Linked DNA regions of Drosophila melanogaster. The protein of the gene in region 3 interacts with the protein of the main gene of each other region in a pairwise test. Each region holds a gene or a part of one and is shown on either strand. Other genes may lie near its edges.

Region 1 (7,542 bases), on a different chromosome or scaffold from region 3:
CTTGTACCAGTCGGCACTGAAATGGGATGTAGTTATTAGAATCCAAGAATAAAATTCCCAATAGTACTTTATATTAGGGATAACTATAGCTTACCAATCTGGCACCTTGCGTGCCCAGTCGCAGGTCTCCTTCTCCTCGTCGAAGACCTGGCCCAGTTTGCATCCGTTTCGCCTGGGCAGATCTCCGTTGACGCAGACGTAGAAGAACTGGCAATCGTTGGGATCGGCGTAGCGGGGATGTGTCACTGCGATGCTCTCGTTCACCTTGGGGCACTCAAAGTCGAAGACATCCTCCGACTTGCAGCCAGTGACGCCCACTTGGTCAGGCCAGCCACATATGCCCGTCTTGGGATTGAAGACCAGTCCAGCCGGGCAGGTAATCATATTGAACTGACCATCCACGCAAAAGTAGAACTTATCGCAGATGCCTGGCTTCTCGTGGCCAAAGTATCCATTCTTCCGGGGACAGTGAAGCGATGGCTGAGGTGTTTCTGCGATTGAACAATAGGGAAATTACAAATGGAATATTCCCTCTGTGCATCCTTGAGTTTCCCTCGCAAAAGGTATCTATCTATCTGTATGCTCGTAAAACCCTTTTTGCACATCCGTAAATACATTACTGCGCCAGCACAATGTACTAGACACACATTTATTCAGGTGCTGTATGCTTTGCGAACTATATGCATATATGCCATGGCAACGTTATATGTATGTATGTATGTATGTCAACAGGAGACAAAGGTAATTGAAATTGCTAATGGGCCTGCACAATGTGTACTAATTGCCTTGATGGGTGGCAAATAATTTATTTAAAAACTAAAACGTGCAGCAATATTTCATATTAAAAATGGTCACACAAAATGTGTGCGACTTTTTAAGTGAATAAGAAATTTTCTTAAATCCACTTGAACTAGCGCTAGTGCAAGAAACTCTCAACGTGAGAACTTTAATAAAAGTCCTTTGTCGAGAAGTTTGAAGGATGCTCTACTCCCACACACACACACGTGGCAGACCAAATTCGTGGCAAGTTTAAAACCGCGGGAAGCCAATTGCCATGGCATTGGGCTTAAAATTTTTTGGTGGCGCGACTCTGGCGTTGGGGAAATAATAAAATCACGAATAAAACTGAGTCTACTCAGGAGGCGAAAAATGAAAACAAAGCACCGCCAAGACCAAAGACCTATTGACGACAACAATTTGGGTTAACCGCTGCGCATGCCGTTTGCATAATAAATAAGTTAACAAAAAGCGCAGCCAAGAAGTAACGAGCAAATAAGTGCGAGCACGAAGCGCGTTTATTGCCCGATTCTTGGCCCAGAAGATGGAGGAGCATATATATGTATACTATATATATATATATAGGTGGGGTCTTGGGATTTGTGCGGTGCATACGTAAAGCGGTTCTTGCAAATTAAGGACTTATACTCACGTAGCTTGCTCCGCTTCATGCAGTCAATGTTGTAGGGCAGATCGCACTTCTCCTCGATGGGTGAGTAGTCATTGAAGACCATGCCATCGGCGCACAGTCGCTCCGTGGGCACACCATCCCTGCAAATGTGGTCAATGTGGCATTAAGCAACGGCCATTACTCATACGCCCCGTGGCCGGGTGTGTCTACTCCTTTTGGTCACTTACAGGCAGGCGTAGTACTTGTCGCACTGCTTGCTGTCCGGATAGAAGCCATTGGGCTCCGGGCACTCCTCGGTGGGCTCGTACTCCTTCTCCGCCGCCGTCTGTTTGCTCTTTGGCACCACCGATGCCTCCTGGACGGGATCACGGTTTCGGGGCGGCAGGTGGCGCTGCGAGGGCGGATGGCCAGGACCCACGCGAAACTGGCTGTTACTGCCACGGAAACCGCCTCTCGACTCCTGCGCCTTGGTTGCGGTCAGACCTGCAGACCAGAAGATAGTTGAGATATACACATGTTAACTCAGTCCATACATAAATAACACACACACACACAAAATGTCCTTGCTTGCAGTTTTAATCTACTTTGCTGATGGAAACTCTCTGCAATGGCCAGTTTATGAAATAGCACACATTGCTGTTATCAACTTAAATATAAATCAAACTTTAAACTGTGTTTAACCTTTTTCTACATTTAATTCGATAGTTTCGTTATTAAATTGCAGCAAAGCCCCACAGTTTCGCACAATTATTCTTATACCATTCGGCAATAAAATGCTAAGCTAATCTATTAAACAAAATGCGCCTAATCGAGTGTGAATTTTAACAACATTTCTCATGTTCATTTGTCACAAGTGCAAACACTTTGCTAAGCTTGTGAATTTATTTGCAGGATCTAATCTAGTTGAAGCTTTTGACAATGCTACTCTGTTGATTGTTTTAGAAAGAGTAATTGATTTTTAGATTGCTTTCGCATATTAAGCAATGTAATGGCGGTAAACTTTTGAAACTCAAGATATATTTTGATTTCATGACTAGGATATTGTAAGATTAGATTAGGATTAGAAATTCCCAAACCACTGATCCATGGTTCCTGCAATTTACCTACTCTAAAGTGATTGTAATAACTTCTCAGCATTTTTTTTCCAAGTGTATCTTGCACGTTTTTGCCTTTTGTTTTTTGCCCAACGTTTCCACTATGTTTGCGTGAAAACCCGTTTGCGGCAACTCAACAAATAGCAACCGATATGTATATGAGTTGTCGCTTTGCGATTGCGACACAGGCCACTGGATTGGAGCGACCTTAAAAGTGAAAGTCTCTCGGGTATTACAAAGCCCGGTTTTGGATCCACAAACAGCTGATCTAAGCCGCCGAGCAGCTGATGCCAAAGCACAGCCTTGAAAACTCAGTATCAATTAGCATTTCCTGCAAGTTGCAAGAAATTTTTCAAGATATGCGACATGCAGCAAATGCATCCAGTTAACATGGTGGAGCTCTCCTCAAGGTAAACCACTTCAATCAGACCGAGCAAAATTGCAAAAAAAATATATATATACATATATATACTTTATATATGTAGATACGTAAAAAGCCAAGCGATACAAGAGAAACAAGAAAAGACGATTTCAATTTTCGTTTGGCAGCCGCAGTGAACATCAACAATGCCGCCAGCAAGTTGCTGATGCTGACGTCGCTCGGCTGACATTCGATTAAACGTTAATAAAGAAACAATTCCACACAGCAATTAGTGCGTGAAGTGTCGGCCAACATTTAAGCCAACAACACCAAGTTGCTGCTGCTGCTGCTGCTGCAAGTGTTGGGTGTTGCAGCTGTCGCTTGTCATTGAAACATGTTTCGTACACGAACCGGGATCTGGTGAAAAACCAAAAAAAAGAAAATATATATACCCAACCCAAACAAGAAGCTGGAAAAGAAAAAGTCACGAAAGCTTCATAGTTCAGTTGGCAAATACTCTTGCGCAGGAGGAGTTCAATGAAAGACACTCTCAAAACAAAGAAATTGCATAAACAACTGTATGAACATGCCTCTAATATTATTAATTGATTTTTAATTTTATAAATTCACACCTATTCGAGAGCTATCAAATTGAAAGCATCGTTTTTTCACCGACTAAAGTTAAACCAAACCAAATGCATAATTGCATTATTGTAAAACTTTTTTTTCGAGCTGGCTATTCGGCTTAATTTTAGCACTTTAAATGAAAATCGAAGTCCTAATTAATTAAATAATTGTAGATTTTAACAGACATTATTGTTAGCTGATTCGGTTAGTTGCGTTAAATTTCAACTAAATGAACATTCAAACTATTCAATGGCTTAAATTTAAACTATGGACCACTTGCAGCCTTTAAATAGCAAAGCAAAGCAGACTAAATTTAGTTTCGAATAAAATGTGCCACAATATTTGTTCGATATGAAACAATGAATAATATTTATCCTTTCAAATATTCACTTTTTCCCAGCCATTCTTTAATAATTGCCTGAAATGGCTTTTCCCCCAAGGGCATTTCCCTTACGACCTGCTCCTGAATAGGTATTTTCCTTTCATTTTTATGACCCTCCGTTTTTTTTTTTTTTATTTCGCAGCCCGGCGAACGAGTCAAGCGAAGCGTGGCCTATGCGGTTTGGGCCTGGCTTTTTTCGACTCGTCAACTTGGTCGACTTGGTTGGGGGCCGTCGCGTCGCTCTGACAGTCTGTCAACAAGTTTGCCATGGAGTTTGCAGTCGCAGTAGGAATTGGAATTGGAATTGGTGTTGGAATTGGAGTTGGAGTCAACCGTTGTCAACAGACCCGGTTCAACCCGGTCCTGGACCGTTTGACTCGATTCCCAGTCCGGTTAGACTAGATTAATTGACTGCCGATTGCAAAGCAGACGGAGGAGTGAGTCGTGGCTACAATACGGTTTTTTTTTGGGAGCTTTGAATCTTTGGATTTTCGATTCCAGTCACACACGTCGTGGGTGTCGTGGCTGTCATCTTGGAAAAGTGCGTGCAGGCAGCGTGTTAGGTTCAATGAACATTAAATAGATTAAAAATAAACAGATTGTAAGCACTTTTTCATGTCATTCACTGAACTGATGCGAGATTGACAATAGAACCGACCGGTTTGTTAAATTAGATGTAAGAGATTTTTATAAAATAGGGGGTAAAAAGGTGTTCGTCTCGATAGGCAAACACACACATTATAAACTTTTCGTACAAACATGTTTACCATCAAATTAAAACTTTTCCTTTGTCTCAACGCGGTGAGTTTTTCCTCAATTAACTGGCAATTTAATTTGCTTTCAACCCCGGCGGCACCGAATTGCAATACATTTAATTATGAGCTGTTGCCATATTTTTGCCATAGACATTTTAATATAATTACCAAATTCAGCTTACGCCCCCCGAGTGCAACAGTTGCTCGCCTATCAATTTGTTTAATATGTATGTTTTTATGCCGGCGAGTTAACAATGTGCATTTTTAATGCCCCCGCACATTGGAGACAAACAAATTTTTAATGAGCTTTCACACAATAAATGAGCAGAAAATTTGCCAGCAAATTAAATTGCCGAATTTCCAATTGCAATTGGAATGCCAATGGGTTTGCAGCTGTAATTCCGATCCAATCACGAGAGAACGCTATAGGTGAGTATCTCGACTATCAGATACCTAGCGTTCGAGCTCACACGAGCTCCACCTAGCGGTAGTAACATAATCGCTCCCGTAAGTCTCCACTGTATTCTGTATAACTTAACATAACTTTTATATTTCCCGAGAGCATCGAATCTGGTATACCCTTTTTACTCAATGAGTAGCGTATGAGGGTATGAAAACCGAAAAACAAAAGTCATGCAAATTGGCAGCAACAACAACAGCAAGTGCTATATGCCATATATGCTACATGTGGCATTTACACGTGTTCTATGCCATCGAATCATCGGACAACAGTTGACATGATGAAAAGAGGGCCAGGATTGCAAACACTGCAGATATGCATAAACATGGGCGCCAATAATGTTAACAACAATATTTTTCAGCTTAGTTGCTGCAGCACTGTGCATTCTGCATTTGCATATGGTTGTTTGTCGCTATTATCCTGGTTGGTTCGTTTATTTGTTCGTTCGTTTGTTTGTTGCGTTGTTTGTAGTTAGGTTGGCCTGTGGGTTTGTTCCCGTTTGTTTGGGTGCGGCCAACAATTAGAGGCGATTGTTTTCGCCGAAAGCAGAAGAGCATTAAAGTCACGGCACATTATTCAAATAGAGTTTGCACAGGGACATTTTGCACGCCATGGTATTGACGTATCATTAATTGGCAAATGCAATTAAGAGCTTTTTCCACACTTACCCACGGCCAAAGCCAAAGCAAATATGCAGATTTTCACAAGCGCCATTTCGTTAGCCGACATAAACCTGCACGAACAGATAGATTATTATTTAAATATTTTAAATTGATATGCTTTCCGGCGGCACATTAAACGGCATTCAAGAGCAGCATTCCGCATTCCACATTCACTTGATTCACCATTCATCGTACTACACTCGCAGAAATCGGAACTCACCAAACTCGTACGTGCGCACGCGTCTACGTCTCGCTCTCAACTGTGCGATCGGATCGCTCGGGCAATGAGTTTTAACGCCCAGAAGTCTCCATCACCTTGTCTGCTTTCGCTCTGCTCCATTGGAACTGCAGTTAGATGGCTGCGCATGCGCAGTTTGGAGAGAAACCGGTCCGAGCTTTTTTCAAAAGCTTCAGACTCTTAATGTCAGATGGTTAAAGACGATGGTTAAAGACAATCGAACGCGATTGGTCATCGAAATTGTTTTCCAATGTGAGGTTTCAAGAACCAATCAACTTTTTAACAATTTAAAAACTATGAAAATGTAACTAAGAGCAGCTTGAGGAAACCCTAATAATCTTAAGTACTCAAAAACTAACAAAATCATTGTATATGAAATAAAAAAAGATAGTTTAAATATGTAACTATCTTGTTTAAAGAAGCAGCATCTTAATCAATACAACACAAAAGGCACTCAGAACTTTAATGAAAGGTAAATAAACTGCTTAGCCCGCACAGTCCTAATTAGTTAGTAAAAATAATCAAATTTTTAGTTGCGTAGGAAGGACAACTGTGGCCTAAACTAACCAAGGGATGCGCAAACAAAGGCAGGAAATGGAAATGCTAACTTTGCATAACATGGCCCAGTGAAGCCATGGCCCTCTGAACCATGCAGCAAACCAACATCAACTATGCGAATAAGCTGCAAACAAATGAGCGGCCTCCTCCATGTCCATGGAAAACATAACGATCGACATCGGCTGGCACGGGTTTTGCAGGATGGCAAAGTGCAAAGCCCACCGGATCCATGATATTCTACACCACAGAAAGTTTGTAACGAGCACATTGCCGCACGAGCAGTGCTGGCAAATTTGTCAAAAAAGGCGACAGGACGTGCTCCGATGTCGGCCAGGACATCGATGATTTGCATTTTTGAAATTAACCAAAAAATATGACAAAATTTCGGACACGTTTGCCCATGCAGGTGGCTGGCTCGTCCTGCTCCCACTCGTACTCCTCCTTTTCCTACTCCTGCTCCTGAATATTCCGAGCGAGCATTTGCTGCATCATTGTGCAGGCCCAAAACACATTTAACTTGTCAAAGTTGCGGCTCGCCTACTTGGAGTCGACTTTTCCGGAGCCGGAGCTTGTTTTCCAGCTGCTTGGTTTTCATCTGCCTGTCATTTCGTGTGCAATAATTGTGACAAATTGTTCTGTGCTGGAAAAATGCCTCGCCCTTTTCCTGAAAAATTTGTCCAAGAATTTGGTAGCAAACTTATGGCAGCTTTGTATGCAAAGTAAATGGCATAATTAAGTGAAATGACATACATGACGATAGAAATTTAACAAATGTTGCGTGCAAATGCAAATCACAATGGCCACAGTCAAGGCAAATGTCCCACGATTCATAATCCTGCGATAAGTCAGAAAAATAGCATCACCATTTCCCCGCGGGGCTTTAAAACATGGTTATTGTAACGCACAGCCCACAGTTGCTTAATAGCCCGCGGTCCGGGAGTCTCGAAAATTGGTGGGCGGAAATGGGGTGGAGGTTGGTGGTTTGGAGGATTGGAGG
Region 2 (7,817 bases), on a different chromosome or scaffold from region 3:
CTGATGGCGCAGCAGCATTAGTAACTGGAGCATTAGTAACTAAAATCGATGTTCCTGCGGCGTCCTGTTTGGTTTCCAATTGAAAATCTTTCAGTTGGGCCTCTATCGAACGAACTTCATCCAAATCGTGGTCCACAGACCTTGGAACCTTCGGCAACTCGTCGAATATGGTTTCGAGCTCAGATTTTTTCCGCTGACACTCATTCCCGAGGTTAAGCAGCTCATTCTTGCTGTAGAAGATCTTGGCGTCCTGGACTGGATTCTTTGCATGGTTCTCTGTTTGGGATAAGGTGCGGGTTAGAGGTTAGATAATATAATTTAAGGATGATCACGCCAGAGAAACAAGCAATCGGCAAATTAAAAGCTATTATCATGCAAAAAGAGCCGACATCCACGACATGGGATTGTAATCGGCTTGTTTTGTCTGGCGACACTTAAATTGCTGGCGTTACTTACTTCGCTTGAGCGGTTGCCTTAGCCCGGATGCAGGCTGATCCCCAGCTGCTCCTCCTTTATTGACGTTGTTTGCCCCAGTCTTTTTATTCGTAATAAAATCTTCGTTAAGGTATTGCTCCCCAACCAAGGTCTTACGATTGCGGCACATTTCGATAATATGTTGGAAGTCACTGTTTTGGCTTAGAGTTCGTGGATTTCCGATGAGAATAAGCAGCGAAATCGGCCGCGAAAGCAGAACGTTCAACCGCTAAACGGGTGTGCAATATAATTAATTTAATGGAATAATGTTTTTTTTTTTTCATGAATAGTTCTATTATTTTATAAACAAATACATACCCGTTCATTGTTCAAGAATCCAAGTTTGGGAGTAAAGGAGCGCACAAATGAAACGATTATCACATGCTTCTCCTTGCCCTGGAATAATTCGACAGAACCGCAATCTATTTGAGACCAGTTTCGCATGTTTAGCTGCTCTTGGATACGTTGGTACTGGTTCTTGTACGGCGATATGATACCGATATCAGTCTGCAATAACTTCTCGCCATTGAGGCCGAAATACATCAGATCCTTCACGTAATCCATGACAACATCAATCTCTTTATTATTGCACAGGCTGCAAAATTGAAATCCCATGTATTAATATCAGATTTGGTTTTGTACACCATTTTATGCACAGACCTCACAGAGCTCTTCGTGTTCATCGTTGTGCCAAAAACGGAATGAAACATGATGGGAAAAGTCGCATTGGGCAGGTAAAACCAGTTGTGGAAGCGACAAACAATTTCTGAAATACGAATACGAATTATAATTTTTGGATCCTATATGGTAACTACAAGCGCTCACCCATGGGTGCCTCAGTCCGAAGATGTCCCTCGTAGTACATATTGTTGTAGAGCGATACTATCTCCGGATGTGAACGAAAATTGCGGATGAGTCGCGTCTGCACCGATGCGTTATAGCTGCCATCCTCTTCCACTTGGTAGCACTTCCTCTGCAGCAGTCGCTCGAAGAGGGTCAGTCCAAGACCCCATTCGTTCGCCCTCTGCGATTGGAGCACTGGTCCCAGTTGTTTGTGGTCGCCGGATAGAATCAAATTCAACGTCGGCGATAGGGTGCAGGTGATGCCCATCAAAACCTCCGCCTCCGTGGAAGCGGCTGCTTCGTCCACAAACACATGCGTATACACATTGTTCGCGGCGAAGCCACCGGTAGACAGCTTTCCAGCTAAACTGAGTGTGCAAATCACGATCCGATATTGGTGCACCGCTTGCACGGCCGGATAAAAGTGCACAGTGTACATGTTCGAGTACTCCAGAAGCAAATCGTCGATATTGTCAATGCGCCGATCGCAATTGGCGCTAAAGATACGGGTTAGCGGTCGTGGCTGGCTCTGTGGTGCTTTGGCGATTGCCCTTAAAAGTCGCAGTGCCACCTCGTCACAAGCCGTATTTGAGCCAGCCAGCACTAGGATGTGCGTTTCGGGTCGATTTATGTACAATTGGTAGATGGCCTCGACGATGGTCGAGGTCTTACCCGTTCCCGGTGGTCCGAACACGATGTAGGGAGCTTTTAGACGTGGGCTCAACGCTATCTGTCGAACCGCTTGCATTTGCTCCGGATTGGTCGAAATTAACTTGTTGTTTAGCTGAAGTACTCCACTGGCCAAAGGTGTATTGGGAATTTCACCGGGAAACAGGATCCGCTGAACATCACTGTGCCTGGTGAACGACAGCTGCTGAAGTGCTCGGTACTGATAACGCATCACTGCTCGCAATGGACGGAAGATCAGGGTGTAGGTGGTGTTGTCCGGTAACTGGCGTTCACAAGTAATGTTAACCCGCTGCGTTGAGACGCCAAGGATGCGGGCGAAGTAGACTCGTGGCTGCTTGTCCAGAGATCCGACCATTCCGTCAACATTGCGAGCCCACCGCAAGATGGAGTCAAAATCCTTGAGTGCCAACTCGAGCACGTTGTTGTTGTTTTCCAACATCTTGCGTACAGCCGATTTCGGGTTGCCCTTCTCGTTTATGATTAGCACATCGTCGCCAGGCGATAAGATATCCTCCACGCTCATACTGGTGGTACCCATTTGCATTTTCACGGAAAGCTCCCGCCCGAACTGATGCAGCTCCATTTCTGATTGTTTGAGCGAGAGATAATGCTGCAATCGTTCGATGTCCTCCACCTGGAGCAATGTGCGCAGTGTCCCGGTCAGATTTTCCTGGGTAATCTCTCTGCCCCGCTCGCAGTAGTTCTGATATTGATTATCAAAGCTAGCCAAACACATCTGGGCATCCTCGTGCTTTAGAGCACTCAACACCTGAATGGGTGGATTGGCTGGCGGAAGACCCTTGCTCTTGAAGGTCTCCTTGCTAGACAGCCGGTAGGGATTGATGTTGAAGCTAGCCTTGGGCAATGCCTCCGTGCGCATGAAGTGATGCTGCTCCACATATTTCTCTCCCTGAATGGTGAACCCGATAACGATGGGCTGCTCCCGAAGGATCATGAAGACGTGAGAGTCCACGAAGAACACAAGTTCACCGCTCCCATTCACCGGCAGAGGCATTTGTGCACCATACACGTAGTAAAACTGTCGTAACTGCACTATGATGAACTTGTCCACCACCAGATCCTTGCGGAAGGTCTTTAAGGTGAATCCAAAGTAGTGGCTGTCCACGCAGGTCTGATAGGACAGGGACACAATGGGCGTTGGACTGCGGAAAGGAGGCACTCATTGTACATTAACCTTTTTCACATATGTAGAGATATAATTCAATTTACTTACTATTTCTTCATCTTTTTGAGGGACTGAAAATCAGACTCGTCGCCATGGTACTCCACATGCTCCTCATACTTCTCAATTTTCTCGAAGTTCTCCTGGCAGATATAGCAGCCCAGGGATTGGAGTTCGAAATCTTTATCTGACTGCAGCAGCAGCCTCTTTTGAAATTTTAGAAGCGTAGGCTTTACGTCTGTGTCAAGTTTGTATTCTGCCAACAAAAAAACTCTCACGCATAATGAGAATATTTTTTTTCTTAATTATGGATAGACTACCTTCGATTATCGGTTTGTTGCCCTCAGCAGGTGCTCCTCCGGGCACATCGGTCGTGGAGGCGATTCCCCGCAATCGGTGCTGTTCGTCCAGCAAATTGAACTTCTCCTTGCGAAAGTCCATCAAGGAGAAGTTTTTGATGCGATAGTTGGGGTTTCCACGAGGCGTGTTGATTAGAAAGTTCGTCCTATGCAGCAGGGAGCCAATCTAATGAAAATGTTGCATTTAATTTCGAATGTTATAGTTTATATCAATCGCCGAAAAGGATTGTTATATCTCAACGGTCAGAAAATTGCACTGGCGCAATAGGCACTGTATGTATGCACATATGCATGTATGGGCATTGAAATACCAATGAAAACGGGGAATCACTTGACTCCACATATCGAATTTCACCATACGACCACCAAAGAGAAATACACAATGACAGATTTTCCTTTTCTAATTTTTGTGTTCTTTTCCTAAAGCTGTTTTCCCAAACGAGTTGCGATCCCTTTGAAATGGAAAACCCATATGCAGGAGATGTAAACTTGTTACTATGTACTTCATTTTAACGGCATAAATAATTACAATGCGCTATAAGTGCGGTATGTCACAACAATAGAGCTATAGATATACGATCTTGACACAATATAATATTTCTGTTTTTAAACTGAACTCTCAGCATTGAGTTGAGTTGAAATCCACTTAAAGTCATATACAAAATATGCATGTACATTTGTTAATGTTTATAATTTATAAACAAATGATTACGTTTGTTTAGATCAGATTGCTGCTGTACCAGCAAAGATTCCGCGCATCTGAGTGTAAAAGAAAGAATAATCCGGCAGGGGAAACCCAAAACCCAGAACCCAGATGACTCATAGACTCAAGCGAGCAAATCGCGATCGCACACGACGTCGATCGTATGTATGTGCAAATAGTTGTAAAGTTGCTCTGATAATACGGGGAAAATGTTTGGACTGGAGCGAGACAAAGGAAAGCCACATACATACATATATAGATACATACAGTACGAAATCAGTCTTATCGCGCTTTGACTAGCGAAATCGAGTGGTCTGCAATGCAATGTCGAGAATATTGAGCAACTTAAGGCATGTTTACATTTTGTATCCGATTATACTTATCCTAATATATTATATTTCATATTTTAAAGAATGACCTACACATGTACATATCGGACCAACAAAATGCAATTTATTAGTTTTCTAAGGCAACCCCGACCGAAGCTCATTTGGCAGTGCTCACTGTACAGGAAATAGGATAGCAATAAGGCATTATCAATGTGATTCAACTTACATTCGTAGCTCCCTGACTGCTGAGCTTCTGACGAATCTCGCTACTGTTGGGCAGGGCGTTCAAGTGCACCTCGAATAGTTTTCGCATTTTGGCCTTGTCCACGTACCACTCCGTTTGGGCGCTTATCACCTGGAGTCTGGCCATCTCCAGCAAAAACGAGCCCATCAACTCGCGCTCTGTGCCCGTGAAAAGTGATCCGATGTTATGGATCATATATAGTATATACATAGTATATAGCTTACCCCACGGAACCGTCGGCTTGCGAGGCATTCCATTGGCGTAGGTGCCGGGCGGTTTGATACCGGCATTGATCGGTGGCGTCGGTGGCGGTGTTGGGAAGTCCGGCGGGGTTGCGTTGCCATTGTTATTGTTGATTATGTTCTTTTTATTTTTTGTCATTTTGGCTTGATGTTCTTTATTTTGTACTGATTTTTTCCTGTTGTTTTTTTCTATGTTTTTGTTATTGTAATACACTCACTCAAACAAAAAGGGTAGGATCGATAATTGTTGTTGCGAATAATCGCAATTAAGTTACTTATTTGACGCGAACAAAACGCAAAGACGCAGACACACACACACGTTGAAATATTATATATGATATAGTATGTACTATTCAGCTGACGATCGAAATGCACGGCGTAACGTTCAGGTAACAAATGAAGAGAGTGATGCGCGAGCGTTGGGTTTTATATGCACGGGTTACCCAGACGGGGATTTCTTAAAAAAGTTGTTGGGTTAAAAAATGGCTTCAACGAAAACTAATTCAACATTAAATTGGAAATAGAGTCTCTCCATCTTTAGATTTTAACGATGTCCCTGTGTGTTTGCCTGCTTGTGTGTGTGTTTGCGTCTGCAGCAGAGAGCCTTCTGAATAGCGGTGATCAGTTCGCTGGAACTGGAAATTCATTACGGAGTTCTTTAGCTTTCTTCCAGTGGCGAGAATTTCGTAAACAACGCAAAAGGAAGCACTCGCTGCCGCAATACTTACATACGTGTATGTAACTGTCAATTTAGTTTGTTATTTAAAAAATATATATATTTATTTTTTTGATATATCTAGCACCTTTTTTGCTTATTATTTCTAACCTTTATATTGTGTTTTTTCCTATGTGTATGAGTGTGTAATTTTATGTTGGAATTTGAGCGTGTAACACTTATTTACAAAATAGAATTAAACGAACACATAACTTTGACTTGAAAGTCGTGGAAAATCCAGCCTAAAATGATCGTTTCGATCGATTAATGTCATTTACAAAGTTTGGTCACACTATTTGGTTGGTTTAATTCCAAAGATAAAAATACCAACGGTATTCTTTGGAGACCAGAATGTTTAATTTGTAGAATTTTAAAATATTTAAAAATATATTGATCATATTTTAAATAAACTTGTACCCTCCGCTTTTTAAAGAATATACATTTTAATATAAATAAAAGTATATTTTATTCTTTAAATTTAAATAAGCAAATTAATCCTTAACAATTCTGTTCCATAAAAAGCTCAAATAAAAATTTGTTATTTTACATGTAGCTCACAGAATGGGATAAACGTTACACATTATTTATATAATATATTTATCTTAAACCTACTTATCAATCTACAAACAGACTATTTCTTTGCCAGCTTCAGCTTTTCGGATCCAAAGATGACTCCAGTGTCGCCCAGTTTGCGCTTCATAGCAAAGGGATTAACCGAATTCAAAGGGGACCGGTGATCGGTGGCTTTACCCATGGGAACCTCGGATTCCGATTCGCCGAATATGTTTTCCTGGGTGTCCAGCGGAGAGGGTGTGATATCCGGAGTCGAGGGCCGGGATGCTGCCGATGCTGCTGCTGCTTTAAACATATTGGGTGAATTGACCAATCTCTTCAGGGTGCCCCGTTTGGCCGAGCTCAGCTCGATGGCCTTGGGTTTTGGGCCGCTTTGTGAGGCCGATGTGGGAGTCATTGGCAGAACAATGGTGGCCGCAATGCCGCTGGCACCCAACAAAGTCTGCTGCTTGCGTGCCTCCTGGACCGCCTCCAATTGAGGTAGCAGTTCGCACAGACGGTCGGACAGGTGGATGCGTCCACGTTTCGTGGCGTATTTCACGGCCAGTTGAAGCAGATCAGTGCAGGCAATCGATTCGATCAATTCCCTAGCTCGCGTCTCGCACTCGCTGCTGCAGGCCAATGCAAACAGCTTGATGGCCGTCTCCTTTTGCATCTTCTCTGCCCCATCCATTTGCATCAGACTGGACCGCAGCAGTGCATCCTCCAGCTCGGACTTTTCCACTTCGACGTCGCAGAGCGGGATCTGCATACGCAGTTCCTGGAGCATGGGACGCGGATTGGTCATGGGATAGGAGGTACCGCGGCACAGGACCGCCTGGACTATCTGACGTTTCTCGGATACAGCGACCACAAAGAAGTTGTGCGACACACTGGTGCTTTGCTTCATGGTGTCGCAGATGGGGAACCAGGCGTTGCTGCTCCGGCGATACAACTGCAGCAGACCCATGTTGTCGGCAATACTCGGCGATCCGGTGTCGCTGTACCCAAACCAGGTGAGCTGCCGGCCTGGAGTCAGCGGAACGGGCAGATATTCTTGTCGCAAACTCAATCCATTTATGTTCACCAACATCGCGGCGAGATGCTGCTGCGTCTGACTGGGCGCGGAACTGTGGTAAACAACCATTAGGCTGTGCTCGTGTCCAGCAATAGCCACCATTGGTCCTGGTATGGTTAGCACCTCACGCTGTGTACCCATCACGGTGAAGATACGCAGAAAACTGGAGCTGGTGGCCACAGCCACTAGAAATCGCGTGGCCACAACAGCCTCTGCACTCTCGCAATCCGGGAGGCTGAGTGACCACTCTTTGTTTCCGGCGGCGGCCAGAGCAATGACTACTAACTTGCTGGATTCGTTGGAGGCCAATGCCAAAGCTCCACTGCTCACACTGGCCAAATTGTGCTGATTGTAGTTACTAATGTGTAGAGCGTGGTGAATACTAGCGTCGTGGAACTCCACATC
Region 3 (4,740 bases):
AGCGACGGCAACGCCTAGCAACAATCTCGTTTTCGCCGTGCAAGGCAACGGCGGACAGCTCTTCTTCTCACCGGGACTGCAGGGCATGAACCTAAAGCCACTGTCCAGCTTAAAAGTGATACCCATGGCTGCAGCATCGGCAAGTGGGGCAGCGGTAGGAGGAAAAATCTCTGTGACCACGGCAGCCGGCGAAACAGGAGCAAAAACGCTGACTACAAAACTAATACCGGCTACGGTTCTCAAGACGGCCACAGGGAGTGGCAACTAGGAGGCTCAGGAGCGGAGAGGCTTGGTAACCACGTTGAATATCCTTACCGGTTACACTTTCTTCGATTTTGTTTAAACAACACTTGTAATTTATCTATGTAAGCAGAAAGATCGCAAATATTGCTTTGTACTAAGTAAATATAATGGACAACGATAAGATGTCCCATCCAGCAACCAATTTTATGGAACAGTTTATAAAAAATAATATATATATATATATATACAGACCCAATAAAACTCAGATGAAACCAGAAGGGCCATGTTTATTTGCAATACAAAAACCAATGTGCTTTGCATTTTTCCAACTCTGTATGGATAAAAGGCAAATGCAAAATGGTTTCTATTTTATTAAACATTAAAATTCGAATGTAAGTACTTCGCCAACCAATTATATAAAAATAAGAAAATTTAAATAACAAATTTCAACGTTTGCATTTGGCAGGCCAGTGGAAAATGATAAGATGCACAATACTCTTACATTTTTAGAAAAATGAAATTAATATGGAATAATGGCTATACGCTAGAAACGATACTAACCCTTATGCTGCTTAAGATGTCTGTTAAGCTTAATTTTTAAGTCAAAGGATCTGCCGCAAATGTAGCACGAGATGTACGCTTTTTCTGGCACCTGTTGGACAGGAGAGCTGTCATTAGAGGTCGCTGAAGTCCTGCTCTCCTGCTGGGCAGTGCTATCTAATTGAGAAGAAGACTCTAGGACGACTCTTTCTTTGGACTCGATGGTTTGCTTCTTGGTTATCTTTGCAATGGGCGACGTAGGTATTTCCTGCGTGGTCTTTCTCACTAATGACTGGTTGTCTGAAGAGCGACGCCTCTTTCTTGTCTGTGTGTGAGTGGCCAGCACATGAGCCTGCAGCTGCTGGGCCTTCTCGAATGTGTCGCTGCAATATGAGCACTTAGTGACACTTTCAGTTGGCTCGGTTGACGGTGAAGCTACATCTGCTACATCAGGAACTTCTCCGTTTGCAGGTGGGCCCATTGGACATTGAATGTCCGCATGATTGGAAGTCTCTATTGAAGGAACACTGGAGTTTTCGGTTACATTAGAATCTTCAGGAACAGTGGATTCCCCAGGAATATTTGAGCCCTCAGAAGCCGTGGTGACTTCGGCGACACTGCTTTCCAGTGAAGATAAATGTTGAGATTGAAGGTTAACTGGAAGCTGCTCCAATTTTTTCAGTTGCTGGGCAAGTTCGGCTTCACCCTCTGGGCATTAAGTGTAAAGTTATAAACAAATAAAACCGTTGTAATTCTTCTTACTGACCTTCTAAGTGCTTTTTCAAATGTGCGTGTAGAGTGGCGTTTTTCACAGCTGCAAAGGTAAATGTGATTAATCCGATAAATTAGTTTTATAAGTGAGAATATTGAACTCACTTTTTCCACAGTATGTGCACTTTGTGCGTACGTGCACTGCCTGCTTGTGCTCCTTGAGAGTCTCCTTGGAGCTGCAGATGAACCCGCAAACGGGACACTTAACGTGCCGCTGTAGCTTGTGATACTTGATGTGAAACTTGATGCGCGATTCTTGGGCATTTGTGAACTTTTTGCCGCAAATATGGCATTCCCAGTCCTTGAGGAGATGGGTGCGGCGCATGTGCTCCATATGCGCATCCTGGTCGGGGGATTCGTAAAAGCATAGCTTACAACACACAACCGGCGAGTAAAGCGGGGGCGGAAGCGGGGCTGCCGCATCGTTGTCATCATCGTATGTAAATCTGACTATCTCCTCCTCCTCCTCCTCCTCATCTTCGGTGCCATCGTCGACCGTCCCGGAGAGATCCTCAATAGACGGTCCTAACATGCCGGACGTTAACGCATCGTTGTCTATCATGTCGAATCTGGAGTCGACTGGCGACGCAAAATTTTTGGGTTCGGGTGGCTGAAACTTGTCACTGTTCTGTAATGGCACTCGGGCCATGTGTTCCTCCTTAATGGGCACATGCGGTATGTCGAAGACGGCACACACGCGTCTACTACCGTCCTCGTCGCTGTTATCCTCCTCGTCGGTATCCAGATATATAAATCCGCAGAATTTCTCTTCCTCCGGCTCAATTTCCCGTTTAATAACGATGCCATTATGTTCGCGCTGGTACTCGAGCTCGCCGAACTGCTCCTGTGTCTCCACACAGCTGCGCTTGAATTTAATCAGCCGGTGAAACTCGGCAATGCAAGCGATGCACATGTACTGCGGTCGTCCGTCTTCCCTCGCAACCTTTGGGACATAAGTTAGGTACACATAGTACGATTCCACTACTACCAACCTTTATGTTCCAATCATTCATTTGCTCGAGAATCTCCGCCATATCTGCGACGGCGGCGTCATCCGAACCGAAAATGGGCTTCACAATCGCCTGGTCCATGTCCATTCCCATGGTAAAGTAAATTCCGCAAGTCCGGCAGGGTTCGATGGAGTCCTCATTGAAGCCATTCAGATCCGCACTGAACTCCATGGTGCGCTAGCATATATTCAATTTTTACAGGAATCCGTTCCACAAAGCGACCATTTTCCTTTTTGTTATTCTGTGAAATTGGAGGTGGAGCATCTTGGACAGTGTTGCAAAATTATACCCGTCGGTCGATAGTGAAGGATTGTGGGTGGTAGTGATGCTGGCAGTATCTAATTATCTAGATACTACCGATAATAGCTAGATCTTTAGCTTTAAAAAAAACCTTATCCAAAACAGCATTGCAGATTATTTATAATGTTTCTTTGTGTTACGTAACTACTCAAAAACTCATAGCAAGAAGTTCTTAAACCCAAAAATATCCCGATTTAGCGGATCGTCTTTCCTCATTGAAAGTTATCGATTCACCGCCCGGCCACTTTTCGACGATACTCAACACTGTGTCATTGTTTTTATACGAAAAAACACAATCATCCGCCGTCCGAGCAATTGTTTTCCTGCCTGCCCAGCAACTGTATTGAAAATCACCAGAGCCCGGGCTTCCAGCATCCCCGGAGAGTGCAATGAACCTCACAGAGCAAAACCCATATGGAAACGGGCTGCTCTACGCAGCCTTCAATCAAGACCAAGGTACGTACATATGTGCGGATGTGTGTTATTTACATATACACGATACACCTTATCGGTATAATATAACTGGCCTTTTGCGTTGCAGGATGCTTCGCGTGCGCGACGGACACCGGATTCCGGGTCTACAACTGTGATCCGCTGAAGGAGAAGGAGCGCCAATACTTTCCAGAGGGTATGATTGTCAAAAAAAGAGTGCGGGAGACTCCCACGGCCTAAAACAAATTCCATTGTCTACAATTCCGATTCAGGTGGTCTCAGCCATGTGGAGATGCTGTTTCGTTGCAATTACTTAGCCCTGGTTGGAGGCGGCATCCGGCCGCTGTACCCGCCCAACAAGGTGATCGTGTGGGATGACCTGAAGAAGTCCCCGGCCATATCGCTGGACTTCAATCAGCCCGTGCGGGCGGTACGACTGCGTCGGGATCGCATCGTGGTCGTGTTGGAGGGCGTGATTAAGGTGTTCACCTTCACTCAGCAACCACAGCAGCTGCACGTCTTTGAGACCAGCTCAAATCCCAACGGGCTGTGTGTGCTGTGCCCGCACAGCAATAAGAGCCTCCTCGCATTCCCCGGCCGTCGAACTGGCCACGTTCAAATTGTTGATCTGGCCAACACAGAGCGGGCGCCGCTTGAGGTGATCGCCCACGAGGCTGGTATCAGCTGTATTGCCCTTAATCTGCAAGGCACGCGACTAGCCACCGCCGGGGAAAAGGGCACCCTCATCCGTATCTTCGATACGGAAAGTGGCAAGAAGGTATCAGAGCTGAGGCGCGGAAGCAACCACGCCAACATATTCTGCATCAACTTTAACCACCAGTCCACAATGGTGGTCGTCGCCTCCGATCATGGCACCATACACGTCTTCAACCTGGAGGACAACAAGCCCCGTGAATCCTCGCTGCCCATAATACCCAAGTATTTCTCGAGCCAGTGGAGTTTTGTCAAGTTTTCAATACCCCAGGGACCTCGATGTGTATGTGCCTTTGGCGCCGATCCTAATTCGGTTGTGGGTAAGTTGGAAATGGAGTGGATCCTTCCCTGAGATTTCTTTAATCGACATTTGTTCTCTTATACAGCCATTTGTGCAGACGGCCACTATTATAAATTCCTATTTAACAATAAAGGCGAGTGCAGTCGAGACATCTGCACACAATTCCTTGAGCTGCAAGACGATGAGACCTAGAAACAAATCCGATTGTTGCGAACGCCTTTGATGCATCTATACAATTATATATCTCCATGGAAATGTGTTATACAATATTACTTATAAGCATGCTTTAAAATACGTTAAAAGTCGAGTTCACATAAATGTAGTTATACCTTGAGACATGATTGTGGATATTTTATATTTTATTTGAAACATAAACCGATAATCCAACATGCTCATTTAATTTTACTTTAGCCTTCATTTTATGCATTG
Region 4 (3,950 bases), on a different chromosome or scaffold from region 3:
TCTTAAGCTTATTCCTTTCCACCATGCACTCACGCACCCATTTTTCAAAAAATGAGTCACCACGCTCAGATAAGACCACCTGAAGTAAAATAGAATTCATTAAAATTGCAGCGTAATAACAGGCGGGTTTACGAACATCGGATCCATAGGTCTGCACAATGCTTGTCAACATTAGGAAGGAAACATCAAACAGAGTGGACCGGATGACGCATAGCTTGCCCAGGTCGCCCGGCACCGGCTTGGAGTTCTCATTGCACTGGATCAGACGCGATACGAATGTCTTGAGGCGTCCCTCGACGGTAGCCACTGAAAGAATCAACTCGAAGCTGTTGCCCACCGGCACTTGGCAAAGGACATTAACCATGTCCTGGACCTTGTTGGTGCACAGCGTTTTTAGTACTCCGGAAAGCGGAACCTCTGCGCGCTTGATGAAGTTTATATTGGAGGGTGTCTGTTGGCCATTGTCGCATTTTTTGAGTAATTGAGAGGCGGCTTCCCTGAAAGAGTTCGTTTTAAATTATATAATTAAGATGGGTGTACAAAATGCATGATTTCTCGACTAACCTTTGACTGGCGAACTTCTTTACGTGGACATCATTGACTAGTTGTTGCTTGGTCCAGTCATTCAAAAGGAACTCGATCATATTGCATGAGCACTTAGTATCCATGAAGTCTAGCAGCAGATTGTCCTCGATGAGCAATTCCAAAGCCTCCACCAACTCGGGTATGTAATCGGCCGGTGGTGGTTGCTCCCCGGGAATCCGTTGCAGGGCGTGCAATTGCTTAATGATGTGCGGCATTTTAAAGAACATAAAGGCACCCCACATAGTGTCAGGACTTGTATCCGCAACATTGCTCAGCGTGAGGAATCCAGCACGGATGATTTCGTAGAAGAGCCGTGTATTGGAGTATTTCTTTAATCGTTGCAGCATCTGCAACTCAGCCACGTAGTAGCTGGTGTCCTTGCACGGATTGAGAAGCACTTCCACCGCCAGTAAGGGTTGCACGCAGCACGAGATCTTCTCGAGTGTTGACGGCGGATTAAGTGGTTGCATTTCAAGATGCTTGGCTTCTATAAAGGCCAACTGCTGCAATTGCTGCTCCACTTGTGGTGCATTTAGCGTAAAGTTTGAGTTCGTCAACGATCCCTTGATGGTAGCGTACTTATCCCGAATCCGTCCACATATTTCGAGCTCTTCGTGACAGCCCACGTACAGCATAGACAGCAGGAACTGCTGCTGGCTAAGCCGATCTATCACCACGCAGGTCTGGTCCAGCATGTATGATTGCTCAGCACTAATCTCACCATACAGTTCATAGTGCTGCACAGTTCTGGCGAAGATTTGAAGCAGCCAGTACACCAAGTGGACGACGGAACTCGGTAAAACCGCTTCCTCAGATTTTATTCTGGAAATAGAAATGAACAATTATTTTTACTCCTGCTTTTTAACGACTTATAAAACTAAAAGGACTTACCGGCAGGTAACGCCATCCACGATGCTGGCCAGGAATTCAAGGAGCGCTGTAATGCAATAAACGCGCTCTAATTTGTCATATTTGGCAATGCACCGAATAACAGCAGCGTGAGAAACGAGATGGGCGCACAGTGAATGCTTCAGGTAGTTAAGAACCAACTGAAAAGCATAGATTACAATTTAGAAAACAATCTAAATACTCAGATCAACTACTCACCGGATTAGCCGTGGAACCAATGAGTGCCTGCTGCATCAGACAGTCAGCCAGATTGTATACATCTCCACTGACTCCTCTCGGCAGCACCTGAAATAGTAATCAAGGGAAAGACAATAATGAAACATTTTCTTTTCCTGTCAAACTTTAACACAATATCTGGGTCACAACCCCATAAAATAAACAGAAACAGAACCACTTAAAAATCTAGTTAGGATTTCCACTTATATAGTTAGCACACATAGTTGCATATTTCGTTACGCGATAAAAAATGTTTCGTTTAAAATTATTTCGCAGTCCTGGAGACGTATTAAGCACTTTAATTAGCGGAGCTGCAACGGATTGCTGCAGGAAGACGTCACATTGTTTGGAGTTGGATCGCGCTCCCGCTGTCGCTGCCTGCTGGATCTGTATGCGGATGATCAGTCAATATCAGTTCAGGACCACGAAACCAGCCTACTATCCAGATCGCCAGCGGGAGGCGAAGCGAACGTCAGCGGGAGCCACGCCTCAACAGGTGTCATCTCCGGCTGTTAAGTACCCGCAAAGCCGAGGCATGCCCAAGGACTACTACTACAAAGTGTTAGGCGTCAACAGGCACGCCACCATCCAGCAAATCAGATCGGCTTTCTATGCGCTGGCCAAGCGCTATCATCCCGACTCGACGCACTCGGAACAAAAGCTGAAGCACTTCCAGGAGCTGTCCAACGCCTACAACATCCTAACCGACGAGACGAAGCGCTTGGAGTACGATCAGCTGGGCGGGATTAAGGATGAGCGCGCTTTTCTTGAACAGGCGGGCAATCCCCTAAATGTGGGCCTCGAGGAGGCCAAGAAGTTCGATTCGGATAAGACGACAAATGATGGTAAGCAGACGGATTTTAGATACATCAAACACCATTTCACTTTTCACTATATCACGATATGAACACGATCCTTGAATCGCCTTCTAGAGATCAACAAACTGAAGAGCAACGAGTTCGATCTGCCACTTGACTTCCTTGAGGCGACAGTGGGATGCAAGAAGCGGATAGAGCTGCGCTACTTGCGGAAATGCGAGACCTGCAAGGGCAAGTCACAATTGATGGCGCATCGGGATGTGGGCAAGGAACCCTGTCGGCGATGCAATGGAACTGGAAAGGTCATGACCAAAACGCCAACCTTCTCATCGGTGAACACATGCACGCAGTGCAAGGGCAAGCGATTCACAAATCGCAACGACTGCGAAACATGTTCGAATCGCGGCTTCGTGGTGTCCAATGTGGATGTGATGGTATCGGTGCCTTCCGGATCCCGGGACGGTGATGTGGTGAACATTATAAATCCGGAAACGAAGCAGCAGGTCACCTACCGCTTGTCGGTGCCGTCTAGCGACTATTTCCGACGCGTTGGCAATGACATTCTAACCGACAAGCACCTAAACATCTCGGAGGCCATTCTGGGCGGATCCTTTCAGATACGGGGTCTGTACGAAAGCGTGGAGCTGCGTGTGGAGCCGGGCACCCAATCCCACACCCAGGTGGTGCTCAATGGCAAGGGGGTGCGCTCCAGGGAGGGCGTGGGCAACCACATCGTCACGCTGAAGGTGCGTATACCCCGGAATCTCTCCGTAAAGCAACGCCAACTGGTTTTGGCACTGTCCCAGGCAGAGGATCCGGTTTTCGAGCCCAAGACTAAGAGCACGGAGGCGGGCAATTTGAGTCACTAAAATTCTCAATGTACCGGCCTCATTGCGTTTACAATATATTGGTAAACACGAACATTGATTGTTTGGTGTGTTGATTTGCTTGGGTTGCCTTGCCTTTTTTATGTTGATGCCCCACTGGGAGTCCGTCCAGCGCTCGCGCCACGCCACATAGATGAGTTGGAGGATCTTGTTGTTCTCCTTCATCTCTCGCGTCCGTGGAAGTAATATAACTTTTACTTTTCTCGTATTTCACGCAATTTATTTTATTTAAACCTAATATATTTTTTAGCAGCGCTCAGTGTGACCGAGGTATCTTTTATTAATCATACCAAAAGAGTACCATAATTTTCCCATCCTACAGTGTTGAAAAACACACAATCTTAAAATTTGTCGCCAATTTTAAATATTTTGAAAATTTTGTTTTTGCAACGAGGAATTTAGCCAAATAAAGGAAATAATATTAAAATATATTTTAAGACACCGAAAAGGCACCCACAAACAAATTTTAATTCAAATAATTTATTGAATACAATAAAGTAGCGTATGAGTTTCATTTGTAAACTGTTTTCATTTT

The links.
Region 1: the proteins of E(var)3-9 (region 3) and obst-B interact in a two-hybrid assay, tested with the Drosophila melanogaster proteins (one large-scale study listed by BioGRID).
Region 2: the proteins of E(var)3-9 (region 3) and CG6701 interact in a two-hybrid assay, tested with the Drosophila melanogaster proteins (one large-scale study listed by BioGRID).
Region 4: the proteins of E(var)3-9 (region 3) and CG7387 interact in a two-hybrid assay, tested with the Drosophila melanogaster proteins (one large-scale study listed by BioGRID).

What each region holds. Positions count from the first base shown.
Region 1 is NT_033779.5:10,031,167-10,038,708, reverse strand, and holds the start of obst-B (obstructor-B), read right to left. Parts: upstream 6,020-7,542; 5' UTR 5,970-6,019; intron 5,821-5,969; 5' UTR 5,817-5,820; coding exon 5,756-5,816; intron 1,892-5,755; coding exon 1,636-1,891; intron 1,549-1,635; coding exon 1,430-1,548; intron 492-1,429; coding exon 95-491; intron 17-94; coding exon 1-16.
Region 2 is NT_033778.4:13,974,135-13,981,951, forward strand, and holds the start of CG6701 (uncharacterized protein), read right to left. Parts: upstream 6,032-7,817; 5' UTR 5,894-6,031; intron 5,810-5,893; exon of another isoform or gene 5,285-5,809; 5' UTR 5,207-5,284; coding exon 5,050-5,206; intron 4,984-5,049; coding exon 4,808-4,983; intron 3,716-4,807; coding exon 3,511-3,715; intron 3,447-3,510; coding exon 3,242-3,446; intron 3,171-3,241; coding exon 1,300-3,170; intron 1,241-1,299; coding exon 1,135-1,240; intron 1,070-1,134; coding exon 793-1,069; intron 704-792; coding exon 457-703; intron 277-456; coding exon 1-276. Other genes in the region: Ctf4 (chromosome transmission fidelity 4), read right to left, coding at 6,414-7,817.
Region 3 is NT_033777.3:8,990,131-8,994,870, forward strand, and holds E(var)3-9 (enhancer of variegation 3-9), read right to left. Parts: upstream 2,820-4,740; 5' UTR 2,736-2,819; coding exon 2,547-2,735; intron 2,498-2,546; coding exon 1,660-2,497; intron 1,598-1,659; coding exon 1,550-1,597; intron 1,492-1,549; coding exon 800-1,491; 3' UTR 515-799; downstream 1-514. Other genes in the region: CG11970 (uncharacterized protein), read left to right, coding at 1-268; CG11975 (uncharacterized protein), read left to right, coding at 3,254-3,320, 3,406-3,492, 3,569-4,330, 4,397-4,503.
Region 4 is NT_037436.4:8,191,019-8,194,968, reverse strand, and holds CG7387 (uncharacterized protein), read left to right. Parts: upstream 1-1,852; 5' UTR 1,853-1,960; coding exon 1,961-2,555; intron 2,556-2,642; coding exon 2,643-3,397; 3' UTR 3,398-3,447; downstream 3,448-3,950. Other genes in the region: MED24 (mediator complex subunit 24), read right to left, coding at 1-79, 137-497, 565-1,407, 1,477-1,634, 1,693-1,779, 3,491-3,580.